3 linked regions of the Arabidopsis thaliana genome follow. The protein of the gene in region 1 purifies or fractionates together with the protein of each later gene. This does not show direct contact. Each region holds a gene or a part of one and is shown on either strand. Other genes may lie near its edges.

Region 1 (5,586 bases):
GAAACGATGTTCCAACCACACTTCTTCTAAGTAACTGCAAAACCCCATGAAACCCTTGTCAATAAACATTACCCAGAAAAAAAGAATGAATTCAAATTAAGAGACAACATTTCGGATTCTTTCTCATGAATGAATACCCAAATAAGCAATGAAAACGACAGTAACAGAGTTTTTTTAATTTCTCGTAATACCCAAATGAGAAACACGATAAACATACCTCTGACGAAAACAGAGAGCTTCTCAGTGAATAAACGTTTCGGAGAATCCTCGCCATAGAAAAGCACTAAAAAGCTTCTTCTCCACTTTTTTAAACCACAGATACAGAAACAAACCAAAAACTGGAAAATTCCAACTACCCAGAAGTCAGACTTGTATGAAAACGGAGAAGAAGAGAAATTTCACTGGAAAAAAAAAAGGAAGAGTTTTTTAGGGTTTTAGGTTTTCGTTTCCCTCCGTTTCAACTATTTTTTTTGGGTTTCTGTTGATCGGTCTTTTACAAGTCGGCAGAGATGTTTTTGACTTTTGTCTTTCCCAGAGAAACTCAAACCGATGTCTAAACCGGCTCATTGATGGGTTATGCAAACCGATAAATAAGATTGATTGGTTTTAATTATTTGACGGTTTGGTAATGTTGGTTTATAAAATTCGATCAATCTTAAGTAAACTAGATTGTCTCACAAATTCTCTCATTAACGAGGGAGGATAAATAGAATTGAATTCGAAATCTGACCAGAGAACGACATTAACTCGAAACAAATTCATAAGATCATTACAAAAGGAAAAATCAAGAGACACAAACCAAACCAAAGAACCCATTTTTTTTTTTTAAATAGCAAACCAATCACCCAAAACTGATATATAATAAACCGGACCATGACTCTGCAAATTAAAGAAACACAACCTCGGCTCAAAGACACTCTTCACTCTTCTTCTTCATCATAACTAAGCCAAGATTCTTCACTTCTTCACTGCTGCTTACATTCCGGTGGCCTCTCACCTGCTTGACCTTCCGCAAGTTGACTTCTTCCAGCCTTCTGTTCATTAAAAAAGGATACCTCAGGTTAGCCATTGCATTATCAACAAAAAAAAAAGATCGAGATTGATTGATTGTTAAACCTTGTGCCCAGCTGATGACTGCAACAAAACAAAAGATAAACCACCAAATCAGTTTCAGAGGTTTTAGTTTCCTATGTAGGAAGGTTTTAAGTAGAACAAAACCACATAATTTACCTTCTTTTTGCTCTTCTTTCCTTGATCTGCTTCTTCCTCCTCGTCATCATCCTCATCATCCTCCTCCTCGTCATCCTCATCATCTTCCTCGTCCTCTTCATCATCATCTTCATCAATCTCATCATCGTCGTCCTCAATATCAAGGTCATCTGCCTCAACAGCTTCACCAGTGAACCATGACACAGCATGCGAGATGATTTTCTCTTTGATTGTTGAACTACAGGATAAACAGTGGACAGACTCAGATCCTAGAACTGAACTAAGTGAAGAGAACTGAATATGAAATAGAAAGGTACACACCCGATATCATAATCATGCTCCATTTGTCCTTGGAGTTCATCAGCCTGTGAATATTAGATGATCAGATTAAAATCCAACACAATCTTAATTACTGACTCTAAAAACTAAACTGCTTATGGAGATGGAAATACCATGTCATCATCAAGATCCTCATCATCGTCAGGAACTTGAGGTGGACTGAAAAAGTTGAAGAAACTCTCACAGTCCTCAGTCTTAGTGATCGGCTTTGTGTTTTTGGATCCTTTCTTTGGCTTCTTTTTTAGAATCTTCTGTGTCAAACACTTTCCAGGATACCACTCAATCTCCGTCCTGAACAGCAGTAAACGACAGTCAATAAAGACTTATTGTCTTCAGAACATAAACAGTAAATACTTGATAGAGCAAAACATTACCCGAGGGCCTTCTCAAGGATAGGCTCATCTTCATCAATCATGTGATATGTCTTGGTCAAGACAGTGTTCTTGAAGTAAGGATTCTGATCAAAGAAAAACTCAAGCTTGAACCCTTTTGGTTCTTCAACCCTACTCCACTTGATATCTTTGAGATACTTGAGAGCCCCTTCATCTCGCTCAGTTATCTAAAACCGTGGAAAAAACCACATAATGATAAAGAGAATCGCCATTTTATAAACCAAAAAGAAGAATATTCTAATAACGAACCTCTTCCGCAGTAATTTCATTGTTCTTCAATGCAATAAGCCAGAAATCTGGTACTCCTTTCTCTGCAGAAAGACAGTTTCATATCATATAAAAATCATGAGTTCACCATCATCATCATAAGATACTAAAAATAAACATGTTTCAGTAAAAGAATCGATAAACACACCTTCAGCTGATTTATCTTCTCCTTGTTCGGATTTTACTTCTTCAGCTGCACCTTCAACTTCGACCACACCATTCACAATCTCATATCGCTGTGATGCAGAAGGCAGAAGACCATCAATATCAGTTACAATCACGAATGATGCAGAAAGAAGTGAAAACCATGAAGCACTAATCATTCACGTAAGTAGCAACAGAGAGAAGTCTTATTAAACCTTTATCAATTGAGGTGTCATCATGTGTTTCAAAGATATTCTAATAATAGGAAACTAAAGACCATAAGAATCTCGCAGAATCAAAGACCGTATTCAAACCTTGGTATATAAAGGCTGATATAACTTTTGATACTTAGCTTCAAGAGCTGCTCTCTCCTCAAAGAATTTTGCTTCCATCTCATCATATTGGTTCTGCAAAGGTTAAAATACAAAAGGAATCAGATAAATTTGCTCCACCAAAAACTCATTAGACCTGAACAGCCAGCTAATTCAAAACCAATACAAAATCCAAGATCATCTAAAAGCTGAAAATTTACTCACCTGAATCTCTCTTAGAAACTCGACACGCTTCCTGACTGGTGGAGTCAAGTTTTCAAGGACATCAGAGTGTTGTCCAGCCAAATTCTGCAACTTGTTCTGCAGCAAACACGTAAATCAAATCAGGAAAAGTCACAAACTTTCAAACAACCAAATTAAGATGCATAGACAATCCTCAAAACCAAAGTCAAATTCTCTAAGCCATAAGAATCAAATCAATTTCTCAAAACTAGTCAGGAAGAGAAAACAATCCCTAAAAGTTACAAAGATGAATAGCCCAATCTCCAGATAGTCATACGCAAATCATATCGTGAAGAAAAAACTCACCTTAAGAGCATTAACAAGCCCGGCACGATCCTCCTCGTTAAGAGCTATAAGCAAAACACAAAACAAGAGAAGCTTTTTTCAATAAATCAAGAGAACAAAAGAGAATCCAGGCCTCATTCTATAGGACAATAAGATTATAATATCTTACCGGTGGAGAGATCGGACATGTTCATGCTGTCCTTGTCGTTGCTCATCTTCGCAAGAAAAGAATCTGGCGGAGGAAGAGGAAGGATAAGAAACCTTAAAACCCTAGATTTTTGGGGACAAATACGAGACAGAGAATATATATATAAATAACTAAAAGGGCTTTGAGAAAATGACCAGACCGAAATAAGACACAACTAAAGCGAAAATAACAAATTTTTACATCAAAATTTGGCATGAATATTTGTTTTTAACATTTAAGAGCATTTCTGTTGATTTTTTTTAAAAAAAGGCTTTTAAGAGCATTTCTATTGGTTAGAAGAAATCTAGGTTGCATGGAAACTCGCCCCGAGGTCTATTTCCCATTTCCGAAACGTTACGAAAACAGAAACTCTCCGGAAACATGAAAAACGTAACGGAAACGCGTTTTTTAAAAATTTATGTTTGGAAACACGATGGAAACTTACGTTTTAAAGATAGAAACTCATGTTTCCCAAATAGACATACGACAAATTTTTTTCAACTTTGAAAATTTAATAACTAAAATTAAAATTATTAAAATTATTAATACATATAACTAATTTTGGAAGACTTTGAGTTTTAAGATATTTCTTTTGATAAACCAGATTTGAAAAGAGCTTTATATTATCTTTGATGAAACTAATGAAAATGAAAATGTTGGTCTAAATTAACTATTTGAACTTGAACCTTTTAATTTTTATCTTTTAGAATTTTAGTTTATTTATTTAATATTGATGTTTTGGACTTGTATTGTTTAAACCATTTTTTCTTTAATATAGTTTTATGTTAATGTTATATATATATATATATATATATGTATGTATGTGTATACGTTTCCAATCCCTAATTTTAAGAAAAAATCGTTTCCAATCCCTAATTTTAAGAAAAAATCGTTTCTCGTTTCCGAAACGTTTCGTATTCGCGTTTTCGTTTCCATTTCATTGCAACATAGGAAGAAACTCACGAGTCTTTTGATGATAGAAGTTTATTTATTTAACTAAAAATTTATTTATTACAAAAGTTTAACCTAATCATCAAAAAACAAATGTATATAAAAAAAAAGTATGTCATGAGTTTCTCAAGTGAAAAAAGAGTCTACTTTCTTTTAGCTCGAAGACAATTCTCATATTCTCATGAATGCTAGCTGATCACATGTTAATGCTTAATCTGGATTGATGCATTGTCATGAGTCACTCAAATTTCATATTAGCACACTATAGTAAGCAAATCTGATTGGAAAACATCTAGTGAGATGCTGCTTTGTTAGTTTAGGGAAAAATGCTTATTTGGTCCTAAAGATTTCGACTTAAGAATAGAGAAATGGTAAAAAAATGTAGAACATCATGCCAATCAAATGATACAAAAGTAACATAACCACCAAACGCATTTGCATGATCTATCTAATATTATATGTACCTATTTTGGTTTAAGGTCATTAATAAACTTGTTGATTAGTTTTTAATAATTTTGTAAAGTTTCTCAAACAATTTCTTTATTTTTATGATATTTTTCACAACTTTATTTTGTAAAAAAAAAGGGTATGATATTTTTCACAACTTTATTTTATAAAAAAAAGGGTAGAAAGTCATAAACCAATAACACAATAATTTAATTCATTATAATAATCATAGATTCTTTGTTTTAAATGAATTACACAAAAAATTTAATAACTTTATAAAAATATGAATCCAATAACTCTACATTTATGAAGATTTTATATTACTTTTTACAAATCTTAAACTAATAACACCAAACTTTAACAAAAAATTGAAAAATCTTTATTGAATAACAACAAATTCTTCATAACATTTTAAGTCACTGAAACTTCGAATACATCACAAACCAATAACACTCCCTAAATAAATTTATATATATTACTAGAAGTCTGGTTATTTGTTTAAATGTTAAAAGATATATGAATTTGTAAACTTAAGAGATTTATGGAATTTAGGAAAATATAAAAACAAAATCCTTATTCTTATTATAAAGTTTCTAAGAAATATACTGTATATTTTTTTCACCGAATAAAGATATTTAATAAATTGAGAAAAGGAATAGAAAAGACCAAAAGCAACAGGCTAAGCGAGACACACACACACGCGCAGTCTTCTTCATCTTGCTTGCTTCTGGTTGCTTAACCAAAACACCATGGAATCTCCCTAAATTTCCTCACCTACTCACTTCCAATTTCAACCTGCTCGATTCTTCCC
Region 2 (5,828 bases), on another chromosome or scaffold:
AAAGTAAATTGACTCATGGCGTAATTGAATTGTCAACATAAAAGTCACTGATATAAAGTTAACTATACTAAAGTAGCTCTTGTGCTTGAACCAAACATCAGCAAAAACCATACCTTAAAATCAATCTGCAAAAAAAAAAGTAAGAGAACATCATTAGTTACATAAATGAATCTAAAAACAATCATTTAACCCAAAAGTAACGGAAAAGAAAAACCCATGAAACAAAACAGAGATGTTAGAATTGAAAACAACACTCTGTCCGCAATAAACAAAGCTAACTAATTAAATCTTTCGTCTCTTCACATTTCTTGTGGGATCTTTCACACTTTTGACGAAATTTAAGTTGAATACTTGTATAGTTCTACTAAACAACAGACCTAATTAACGTTCCAAAAACAAAACTATTATTTCCCATATAGGTTTCTTGCAAAGCAAGCAATCAGTCTAAGAAATTCTTTGGGCTAAGGAGTGGAAAAATTCATGAATACATGATAAATAGTACCTTCAAGTTCATTGATTATCGATATGTCTCTTGAAATAAGCAGCCAGTTTATCAAGATCCCCAAACATTCTTTTCCTGAACTTGAATCCCTTAGGGTATAGACCGATGTACTCGTGGTGCGGATTTGCGGATCGTATGTAAGACAATATAAAGCTCCCTGGATGTTCATGAGAAACACCAAAACTGTAAACTACCATTTTCGGATTCACACCCTTCTCAACCCGAAGAAGATCATCTATTTCCGATTTTGTCCCAGTCCGAAATTTCCGGTGGTTTAGCATTGTCATAAGATGAGTTACCAAAGGATCAACATACCGATCCATTACCTGAAATATTGAAAACGCATAAGTATTTTCACTTGTACCAAAACTGAAATTTTGTAAGAATATAAAGACGAACCTCATCTAGATCCTCGAAGGTTTCATTCCCAATTTTCAGTGTTTTCCCAATACGTTGTAAGCTCACTATATCTTTGTTCTCCTTCTCACCTTCGATTATCTCCTTGTTAGCATACACATTATCAGAAATCTTGATCATCAAAGTCAAATGATTCAGTCCTCGTGAGCTTGGACGAACAATGCTTTCTCCAATATTCTTATCAGACAAATACACTGTTGCTTGCTCGGCAGTGATGTTCTGAAACCGAGGATGAACAATCATCCGAGACTTAAACTGCTTCTTTTCTTTAGGAACTTTCTCTTTCTCTATCAGGACACTATTTCGTTTCTCCTCGTGGTAATAATCATCGACATCCCCGAGATTCCTGTGCTTTCTCATTTCGCTTTCTTTGCAGACAAGTAACACATGATACCTTTGCTTTAGAATCGATTTGACCTTGCAAGTAACGATATCGCCTTCACACAGTTTGTTAGACAAATCAACGATATCTCTACCATCATCTGAGTAATCTTCCTTCAAGAGAATCCCAGGTAATCCACAATCTAATACACATTTGGCTTTACCACTTGTCACTTTCTTAACAGTGGCCTGCACAATCCTCCCTTCACCAATAGTTTCTTTGGTTTCACCTGAAATCATATAAAACTCCTCATCTGAATCAACCTCTTTAAACAGACTCCGCCAATCCTGAAATCCACAGCTTAATTCTCTCATGATCAGACTATAAGTTTCCTTCTTATTCTCTTGGTTCTTGCTTCTCAAGTACTCATCAAGAACGATTTTCCTCAAAGAAGCTGGCTCATCTCTCACATGCTCTATCGCCATCTCTATTGCATCATCCTCATCACCTCTTACAGTATCATGAGCATAAACATCTTTCGCCAATTCTTGCGCAAGACCGTATGATTCGGGATGTATTCTAGTGTCATCCAACAGATCAATAAATTGGCTGCTACTACAAGCCAACCCGCTCCTACGAATCCGTAAGAAACCAGCTGCATTTACGAATACCTTTTTACCAATCCCATGATTTATCAGTTCCTTGCGGACAAATATCGAACCAGCTCTAACAAGAGACTTCTGCAAAGATGCAGCTTTCCTAGGACCAAGACCTGAAACAAACTGTAAAGGAGAAAAAAGCCATTCATGGCTCGCAGCCAGATTAATGTCGATTCCAACTTGATTCGTTATGTCAACCATAACTTGTTCAACCATCTCATACTTCTCATCTGGATCAAGAAAATCTTGAAAAGAATGAAGCTTCCAAGACAGAATATCTCTACCTGGACCGCATAAAGTTGAGATCATTGCTAATGGATTCTGGAGATAACGTCCAAGAGAAACTGCGCGTTTCACAATTCCTGCTTGTTGAGGTAGTTGTTCACTTGAGATTCTAGAATTTTCGTATAGCCTAGGAAGAGATTCATCCGCATAAACCAATGGAAAATCATAAATCCTATCATCTACATAATTCAACGGCAGCTCTTCCACCATTTGGAATATAGCCTCATAAATCTCATCCTTCAGGCGTACACAACTCAAATTAACAGCTGCTAAAGCCAAAACATCTGGTTGATGGTCTCTTATAAACTTTAGAAAACGATCTTGATCCATTTTTTTACGTTTCTGGTCATTTACATCCCGAGACCGCAATCCAATGGAACCTGAGTAAAGCACATCAACCAGCTCTCCTGATGAATCAAGCATCACAAATGTAGTTTCTGGATTTCCAGGTCCCCAACAACAAGCTAGGACCCTCGGTGCAGCTTCCTCCTCCGAGGTATTATTATTCCTTCGATATGGCCCTGAAGACACTTTGTTCCATAAAACCTGTCCATACTCTGAAAGCAACTGAGTCTTCGCTCTGCTAGTTAGCAAGGATCTTGCTTCTTTCTCCATTGACGGCAAAACAAAACCATGAACCGCATCCTCCAGTATCAATTTCCTCTGCTCGTTCCAGAGTTGAGCATACTTACTAACACCAACACTTAGATAGTGTTCACTGCATTCACTAATTATCCTATTCATCTGATTCTCAGGCAGCTTGAAAGTTACTTGAAGAAGCTTCTCCTCTTCTGCTTTCTGAATGAGAAGCCATTGTACACCATCAAACTTTCTCAATGGCTTCTCGCTTAACCACTTAACCGCAGAAAACCGATGGAAGGAATCTATAACCACATTCCCATCTGGTGTTGGACTCGTTGAGACTACTGCATTCTCCATAAAAATTCCACGAACATACTTTCTAATCGATGGCTCGCAGCTTATCTCAACCGCAGCCATATGCCTTGCACCTTTAAGAACAGCTTGAGAATCTCCAAACATTGCACACTCATAGTTCAATGCCATCTCCTCTGGTGTTTTCTTTGCATCTTCAAGCTCATCAACAAAAACTTTCTCAAGAGACAACGCTAGTCCCAATTGCTCAGCGCTATAACCAAACTTGTTTGCAAATTCCTTAATCCCAAATTTGCTGCAGATGCTATATTGCGATTTCCTATTCGGCCTCTTGTACTGTCCTTCATCGATCTCACAATGAGGAAAATGCAAGTTGAACTTTGAGTCTACATCATCAACTTCTCTCTCTGTCTCCGCCGCTTGAAGAGACTTAATAACAGATTCAAAAAGACTCTTATTCAGATCAGACATGCAGGTTTCTTCTTCAAAACGTTTGGTATAGTAACCAAACAACGCGGTTTTCCTTTTCCGCAGAAGAACCCACTTTCTATCCAAATCTTGAATCATCCACAAGACTTTATGCCACTTGGTCTCAAGCTTCTTGTCAAGATTGAAATCACTACCATCATGATCATCATCAGAACTGTCCAATAAACTCCGACACTGCTCCTTCCGATACATAGCTATAAACGGTATCTCTAACTTCTGCACATGAAACATCTCTAAAAACTTCACAATGTCATCCTTATTAATCAAACAACCCTGCCCTTGTTCTTGAAGCAATCGAGCATAAATCCAGTTGCTCTCTTCTTGAATGCTCATGTCATCTAGGGAAACAATTCCAATGGCTTCTTCAAATATCTGCATTCTCTCAGGAACATCAAGCTTCCTAATTTCATCATCTTTCTCCGTCATATACTTCTCAGAGAGAACCATTGGTTCAAACTCATCTTCTAACTTTCTTTCGATCTTTTCGTTATACTTCAAATCCTTTTTCCGAAGTTTCAACAATTCTTCAGGATCACCAAATACATCATTAGCGTATCGTAAAGCGTTCGAATCAGTTCCTTGCTTATATTTCATTTTCTTCCTCCTCATTCCTTGAGCACCATGATCATCTTCATCTACAATGAAGTGACTCAAATCATCATCATCATCATCATTATTGATCTTATCCTCTTCCTCTGAAGATTTCTTCAAACGTTTATACTTGTTTCTTTGGAAAGTGTCGTTGTTATCTTTAAGAAGTAGATAATCATCTTCGTGAAGAGTAAAGGATTCGTCTTTCTTCCTTCGACTTCTACTCTTTTTCTCACTACAATGTCTCTGTTCTTCTTCTTCTTCTCCATCATCAGAACCATTCACTAAAAACCCATCGTCAAACTCATACTGATCATCTTCGTCTTCATCATCTTCCTCACGGTTCTCCACTGGATCTTCATGAATCTGGGGCTCTGTCTCAAAAACAGAGTCGAATCGTTAGAAAAATAATAATAACAGAGAATTTAGGGCTTTTGAAAGCAGAGCTTTTTATGTACCTTCGTCGATCCTATTCATGACTAGGTTAGAATATTTAGCTATACGAAATCGATGAAGATGGAGATCAACCCTAGAAACTCTGTGATCGTAAAACTAGTCTCTATTTGATTCTGAATTTTGCGAAGAGAAACAAAGAAAAAGGCTTTTCGTACTTCTAGGGTTCACACCAGCATTAAGAGGCTACTAATTGAAGTTTTGAAGCATTTCTTATTTTTAAAAATATTTATGAAACTCTTTTTTTAGCTGATATTTAATTAATATATTTGGTATTTTTTTCGATTCATTAAGAGATTTATTTTTCATATTCATACAAATTTATATTGATAATTCTTTTTTCCACTAATTTTTTCATTATATAAACTAATGATAAAATATATAGGTGAAATATATTTTTAAAATATTAAACCTATAAAAAACAAAGAAATTCTCGAAAACTAAAGCAGAATCTACCGAAAACACTTAATAAAATTCATAGCACAAAAAACCATAACAATTAAGAATTGCAAAACAAAAAAAAAAAAAAAAAAAAAAAGATCAAGCAAACAACGGAGGATGGGATAATGAATCCTAAGAACTGAAAAAAGTAAAGAAGCAAACCAGACCGACGATCACTTGAATCAATAGAAACCGAGTTTGAGCCAAAGACAAGTGTTTAGAAGAGACTGCTAGATCACTAGAAGCACGAACCAATTAGAAACTCTAGCACAAACAGCACCAAACCGGAAGCAAACGCCAGACTGATCAAAACTACAACGGGCACTCACTCCCCCAACACCAAACCAAATTACTATTGATAATTTCTTATATCACATCTTTTGAAAAAAGGATTTAATTTAAGCCTAGTTATTAAGGCGCTTAACGTTGCCAAAAAAAAGAAATTATTCTATAAAATTAATGATTTTTAATTTAAAGGTTAGGTGTTTCTCTAGACTTAAATTATTTTCTTACACGATAGAATACTTAGAGGTTATTTCTATTTACGAAAAATGAGAAAAAAATGGAAAAACCAAACGGACTGAAATCACATGGAGTTTGTATATGCATTATTAATTCATGAAAAGAAGTGTCTTGAATTTTCAACCATTTTACTTTTGAAAATCACACTCAACAAAATTAGCTTTTGGTATAAGTATTTTTTTTTGTTGAGAAATTCGTGAAGACGTGTCGTTGGGTGGGTTCCAATAGATATTGTTCTAATATTGGCTAAAAG
Region 3 (5,095 bases), on another chromosome or scaffold:
TGAAGAAGAGTTAACAACGAGCGAAGAAATAATAAAGCATCTCTGCACCTTCTTACTTGAGCTTGTTATCGAATTCATCTAAATTCTCAAAGTGGCGACCAAATTCGATGATTCAATTTCTCCATGGAAACGAAACACAAAGTGGTTTCGGAATATATGGGCCTTTTACGTTATACCAAAGCCCATAGCATAAGAGCCCATCCATTTCGAAAGAAAAAAAAAAAAACAAATCCGTCCCGCGTCAAAAAAACTGAATCCATCTTTAAAGTTTGACCGTTAGTTCGGTAAACAAATAATTTAACCCTTTCTTAATTTTGACCGTTAGTTCGGTAAATTTGAGTAAAATTTTTTCCTAAAAGACAAAACAATGTGGATTCCAACAGGAAGTGGAACTTGGTTCTCTAACAGGAAGTGGAACTTGATTCCAATATGATGAGTAGCTGTTAGAGAACCAAGTTCCACTTCCTGTTGGAATCCACATTGTTTTGTCTTTTAGGACCATCATATTATGTGCATGCTTTTGGTTCAATATGACAGCTATTTCTTTACATCAAAATCTAATATCAGATTATGTGGGATCTTAACGAGAAAAATCAAACTGGAATTCCGGATGAGAACAACCATCACCACCTTCATCTTCCTCTTCAACTAACCTTCCATCTTCCTCTACAAGCCCGTATGTTTGCAGAATCTTCACAGCCTTCTCGTAGATCTCATTGTTGCCATGGTGCTGCAAGTTCTCAATCTTTTCTAGCCCTTCTGCATCTTCAATCATTTGAGAGTAACAGTTCACGTCTCTTAGGTTCTTGTCCACCTCTCCAGCAATCAAAATCATTTCCAGTCCACCTAGAGACACTAAGATGATTCTTAGATCTGGACAAACCAGGATGTCACATAAAGCTTTTATGCAATTCTGCTCCACCAAGTATCTGATACACACCAATGGATATTGTGAATATAGATGATCAATAAGCATGAAAAAAGTGATAAAGAAAGAAGACAGGGATGTACTTGATTTGATTAGGAGAACCACCCACGGAAGCATTTGAAATTGCCCATATAGCTTCTTTCTTTATGTCAAATTCAGCATGTTGTGCCAGATTGACCAACGATGGAATCAAATTTGCATCAATAACCGACTGTTATCATCATCAATGCAAGAAAGACAAATAGAAAATATTTAGTGATAGCAACGTAAATTGTTCAAGTTCTGCAACAGTAACAATCACAAACTCATGCTCACCTGAATTTGTTCTTCTAAACCGGCAGTGATGTTTGAAATCGTCCAGCAAGCTTCCCTCCTTATGCCTCTCATATGGTTTTGAGTAAGCAGGTCAGCAAGAACGGGTAAAACACCACAATTGATCACACACTGAAAAATAAGTTCAAAGAGTTATTTGGTTACAAAATCTAATCTCAACACAGTACTCAAGCAACATATAAATGAAGTGTTCTCCAGGATATAATCATCCAAGATACAGGATTACAAATTAAGCTTTTGATAGTGCTATTGCTTTGAAAAACAATAAATTCACACGGTGTACAAGAGACGTGTTCTTGAAGGCTCCATCAAAGGAATATGAATTACATACGTGAGTCTGCTGACTATTTCCAGAAACTATATTCCCAATGCAACGAAGTGCAGGAACAAGTACAACTGGAGAAGCGTGTCTGCAAAAGAAAAAAATGGCGAGCCTTCATTATCCAAACATGTATCAAACGGTTAAATTTTTTAATATTTGGAGAGAAGTACTAACTGGAGAAGTTCAACTAGTCTTGGGACAACACCCGCCTCGATCACACTTTGGATATTTTCATTTGAAGCATCAGACAGATTCGAAAGCGCCCAGCAAGCATCTATCAAGACTTGTTCATCATCCGAATAAACAAGTCTTTTAAGTACAGGGAGAACATGTTTCACCTATAAATCATGTTTCATAAGTTTAAGTATTGCACCTATAAAACTGAGGAAATAGAGAAGTAAGAATACCAGGTCAAAGGGTGGTGAAGGCTTGCCACGGAAGAAGTTTGATAAAGTCCAAGTCGCATTTCTAAGTATCGACAATGTAGCATGGTTATTCAGCTGATGCAACAGTGGAATAAATGCCCCAGAGTTAAGAACAAAGTCACGGCACTGTATTGAATCACCAGCAACATTACCCAGTCCCCATATAGCCTGCAAATTAAGTGTAACATCAAACTCTTCAAAATTTGAACTCACATATTTAACCATTCATACTCAGAAGAAGCACTATACCTGCTCACGGACATCATCATCAGGGGAAGCAAGAAGCTGAACAAAGAGTGGCACAACACCGTGATCAATCACTACCTTGGTATGCTCAGATGCGCCAGAAGCAATGTTTGTTAAAGCCCAAGCAGCCTCAAACTATAAAAAAGATCAAAGAATTCAGAACCAAAGATTACACTAATCATCAAAGATGGGAACTTTAAGTCTAACCTGAAGCTTAGGGTTATCATCCTTCTTAAGAAACTCTACAAAACGTGGCACAACTCCAGATTTTATCACATTATCAGTAGGTGGACTTCTATCTGAACAATATATAAAACCACAAGACTTTAAGAAACCATTCAAGTAAATATAAGTTCGTATCTTTTTCAACTCAAGATCAAAGAAAAGTAAAGAGTTTTACCGAATGATAGAACCACCCTGAACCGAGTTGTGTACTCAAGCTGCAATGAAGGATCATCCGAGAAAACCCCAGTGATCATATTCGCTATCTCCAACTACAACCATCACCAGAGAGGATCTAATTTAATTACCCAATTCGAAAGCATTCGAGTATAATGATAAAGGTCGTATCTTTCAAAACCTAGGTTTCACTAATCCAAAACCAAAGATCAAACTTTTACCAAACTCTCAAAGGGGTCGTTGGAAATCAACTTGTAATCAGGAGGCAAAACTTTTACACGACGTTTCTTCATCAAATTTTCGTTGCGTTTACTCTTGCGAATCTCGACTAAAAAGTCTTCTCTTCTTCTGCGTCCTTCTTCCGCATCTACAGAGACTTTGTAACGGATTCGACGGATCTCTGTCTTCGTGCTCGGTCGCAAGGACATAGCTTTCTCGATTCTTCGACCTCTCTAAATCAATTCACAAAATCGAAGCGAAACCCTAGAAATTTGAACTGAATGGGATTTGCAAAGTGAAGAAGAGAATGCAAGAGTGGTGAAGATGAAGAAGAAGCGACAACAGTTTCAATTTGAAGAAGCGGGAGGGTTTTCTAATTATCGTTTTTAATTGTTAACCGTATTTATACAGTAGATTGAATCATAAATCATTGATAATCTAAATTTAAGATAAAGTTTACAATCATATTATTAAGAGCTCCAAATTGAAATAATTAGTCAATAATTATTATAAGCTAAAATACTTGAATCTAAACCGAACTAAACCGTGAAGTTGGTTTAGTTACTCGTTACCGACGATAAAAAGAACCATATTTGCAGAGTTTACTCGTTAGATGTGTAGTGTTTTCTCCGGCGAAGGAAAACCTACTTTTCCGGTAAAGTTCATGTATTGATTGGAAAAAGTAGGTTTTGGTTTGTGATTTTGAATTGCTTATGTAAGAAGTAAAAACATTGTTTTTTCTCATATGATTATGTTAACTACTATACATTGTACACTATACTATATGTGCAAGTTGCTTTAAAGAAACAAGATATTCCAAAGACGTCGATTCATCTCTAACAGTAGCAAGACCTTCTCGAGCAACCGTAGCCATCCGATTTGTAGGCGATCTTGGAGGAGATGCATAAAGAACTGATGCCTCGATGATCTCTCTATGTGTGTTTTCAAGATCCTTAGAGATTCGATGTGCTTGAAGAGCGGTTAGGTAAAGTCCCGTGGCTAGAAAGACGGTTATAAGTGAGAACACTCCGGCCGCTGAAAACAAGCCTTGCCGGATTACTAGACAACTAGGTTTTGGTTTAGACCAGTTCTTTAGATGTCCTGATTCCACACTAAGTGCAACCAACAGTAGAACCTCTCCAACACCAAAGCAAACCCTTATAGGAACAAAAAAGAATAATATAATCACAAAATTATCATTAACTTAAGCTATGGTCAGTAACATAAATATGTCATTTCACGATTGCTTATAGTTAGGATTTTTTTATTTTTATTTTATTTTTTATAACTACATGACATTAATTCGTTGCGTTAGAATAAGTCTACGTACCATGTTGAGACGAAGAAGAAGGCAGCTTGAAAAGTGAGCCTCTTCGCAGGAACAGAGTCAGGATCCCACTCAACCAGAACCAGAGACGGCGATGTGGTGACTGCGATAAGTAAGTACATGTGGAAGCCCACCATCGCCACCGCTAGTCCCACAAACGCAATCGCACCACACAACAACGGCGTTTTCCCGCTACCATTATACACGCATGTTTTGCTTCCCCATGTCGCCTATTGCAAATGATTGACAACATATTAATGGCAATGATATAACTTATACTAAATACTATTATAATCGAACGATATGGTAATTAATATAAAACATGAATCAATATAGATTTCTGATTTATTTTGAAAATATAAATGATGAAAACATATGAGAGAAAGTTTATATACATCCCTGTATAGTAATGTACCTGAGATCTTGTGGCTTCGGCATAGAGGCAGAGAACAAAGCAGGAGAGGCCAAAGATTATTGTCAAAACAGCGATGAAAATACCGGTTTTGCTGCTGAGATCTGTGGTTTTAGGGTTTGGAACAAGATCTTGATGGGTCACAGCTCGCACTCTTGTTCTCGACATGTCTCTCGTCAATTTCTAATAGATAGGAATCGAAGTTACATGTTTTGAGAGTTATTATACTTTGATTTGTTTTACATATATGAGAGGCATTGAAAGTGGGAAGAAAAGAATAAACTGGAGTATATTTGATAAATAAATGAAAAAGGAGAGGAGGATAGAAGAATTGCTTCAGCCAAAGGTTGCTTAAAGGCCAAGATTCGCAGGTTCTCTTTCGGATGTCTTTTTAGAAATACTATACTGTTTTCGTATAGTGTCTATTAAACGATGATGTGTAAAATATATAATGTGACGAGAGTTCGTTAATGGAGTTAGTTGG

The links. The genes of interacting proteins can lie anywhere in the genome.
Region 2: the proteins of NAP1;2 (region 1) and AT1G63210 fractionate together in Arabidopsis thaliana (co-fractionation; one large-scale study listed by BioGRID). This does not show direct contact.
Region 3: the proteins of NAP1;2 (region 1) and IMPA-5 fractionate together in Arabidopsis thaliana (co-fractionation; one large-scale study listed by BioGRID). This does not show direct contact.

The regions. Positions count from the first base shown.
Region 1 is NC_003071.7:8,436,420-8,442,005, reverse strand, and holds NAP1;2 (nucleosome assembly protein 1;2), read right to left. Parts: upstream 3,551-5,586; 5' UTR 3,406-3,550; coding exon 3,360-3,405; intron 3,256-3,359; coding exon 3,212-3,255; intron 2,984-3,211; coding exon 2,888-2,983; intron 2,759-2,887; coding exon 2,666-2,758; intron 2,444-2,665; coding exon 2,356-2,443; intron 2,252-2,355; coding exon 2,190-2,251; intron 2,108-2,189; coding exon 1,923-2,107; intron 1,840-1,922; coding exon 1,662-1,839; intron 1,575-1,661; coding exon 1,531-1,574; intron 1,448-1,530; coding exon 1,231-1,447; intron 1,135-1,230; coding exon 1,117-1,134; intron 1,035-1,116; coding exon 966-1,034; 3' UTR 505-965; downstream 1-504. Other genes in the region: RECA2 (recA DNA recombination family protein), read right to left, coding at 1-34, 218-274. UniProt on the Arabidopsis thaliana protein: May modulate chromatin structure by regulation of nucleosome assembly/disassembly. May function in nucleotide excision repair (NER). Involved in somatic homologous recombination.
Region 2 is NC_003070.9:23,442,037-23,447,864, reverse strand, and holds AT1G63210 (Transcription elongation factor Spt6), read right to left. Parts: upstream 4,178-5,828; coding exon 902-4,177; intron 829-901; coding exon 511-828; downstream 1-510. UniProt on the Arabidopsis thaliana protein: Transcription elongation factor that enhances the transcription elongation by RNA polymerase II (RNAPII).
Region 3 is NC_003076.8:19,991,436-19,996,530, forward strand, and holds IMPA-5 (importin alpha), read right to left. Parts: upstream 3,238-5,095; 5' UTR 3,082-3,237; coding exon 2,875-3,081; intron 2,749-2,874; coding exon 2,655-2,748; intron 2,554-2,654; coding exon 2,462-2,553; intron 2,390-2,461; coding exon 2,258-2,389; intron 2,177-2,257; coding exon 1,991-2,176; intron 1,922-1,990; coding exon 1,758-1,921; intron 1,672-1,757; coding exon 1,593-1,671; intron 1,373-1,592; coding exon 1,244-1,372; intron 1,140-1,243; coding exon 1,012-1,139; intron 930-1,011; coding exon 581-929; 3' UTR 511-580; downstream 1-510. Other genes in the region: AT5G49320 (transmembrane protein, putative (DUF1218)), read right to left, coding at 3,648-4,029, 4,203-4,429, 4,615-4,779. UniProt on the Arabidopsis thaliana protein: Binds to conventional NLS motifs and mediates nuclear protein import across the nuclear envelope.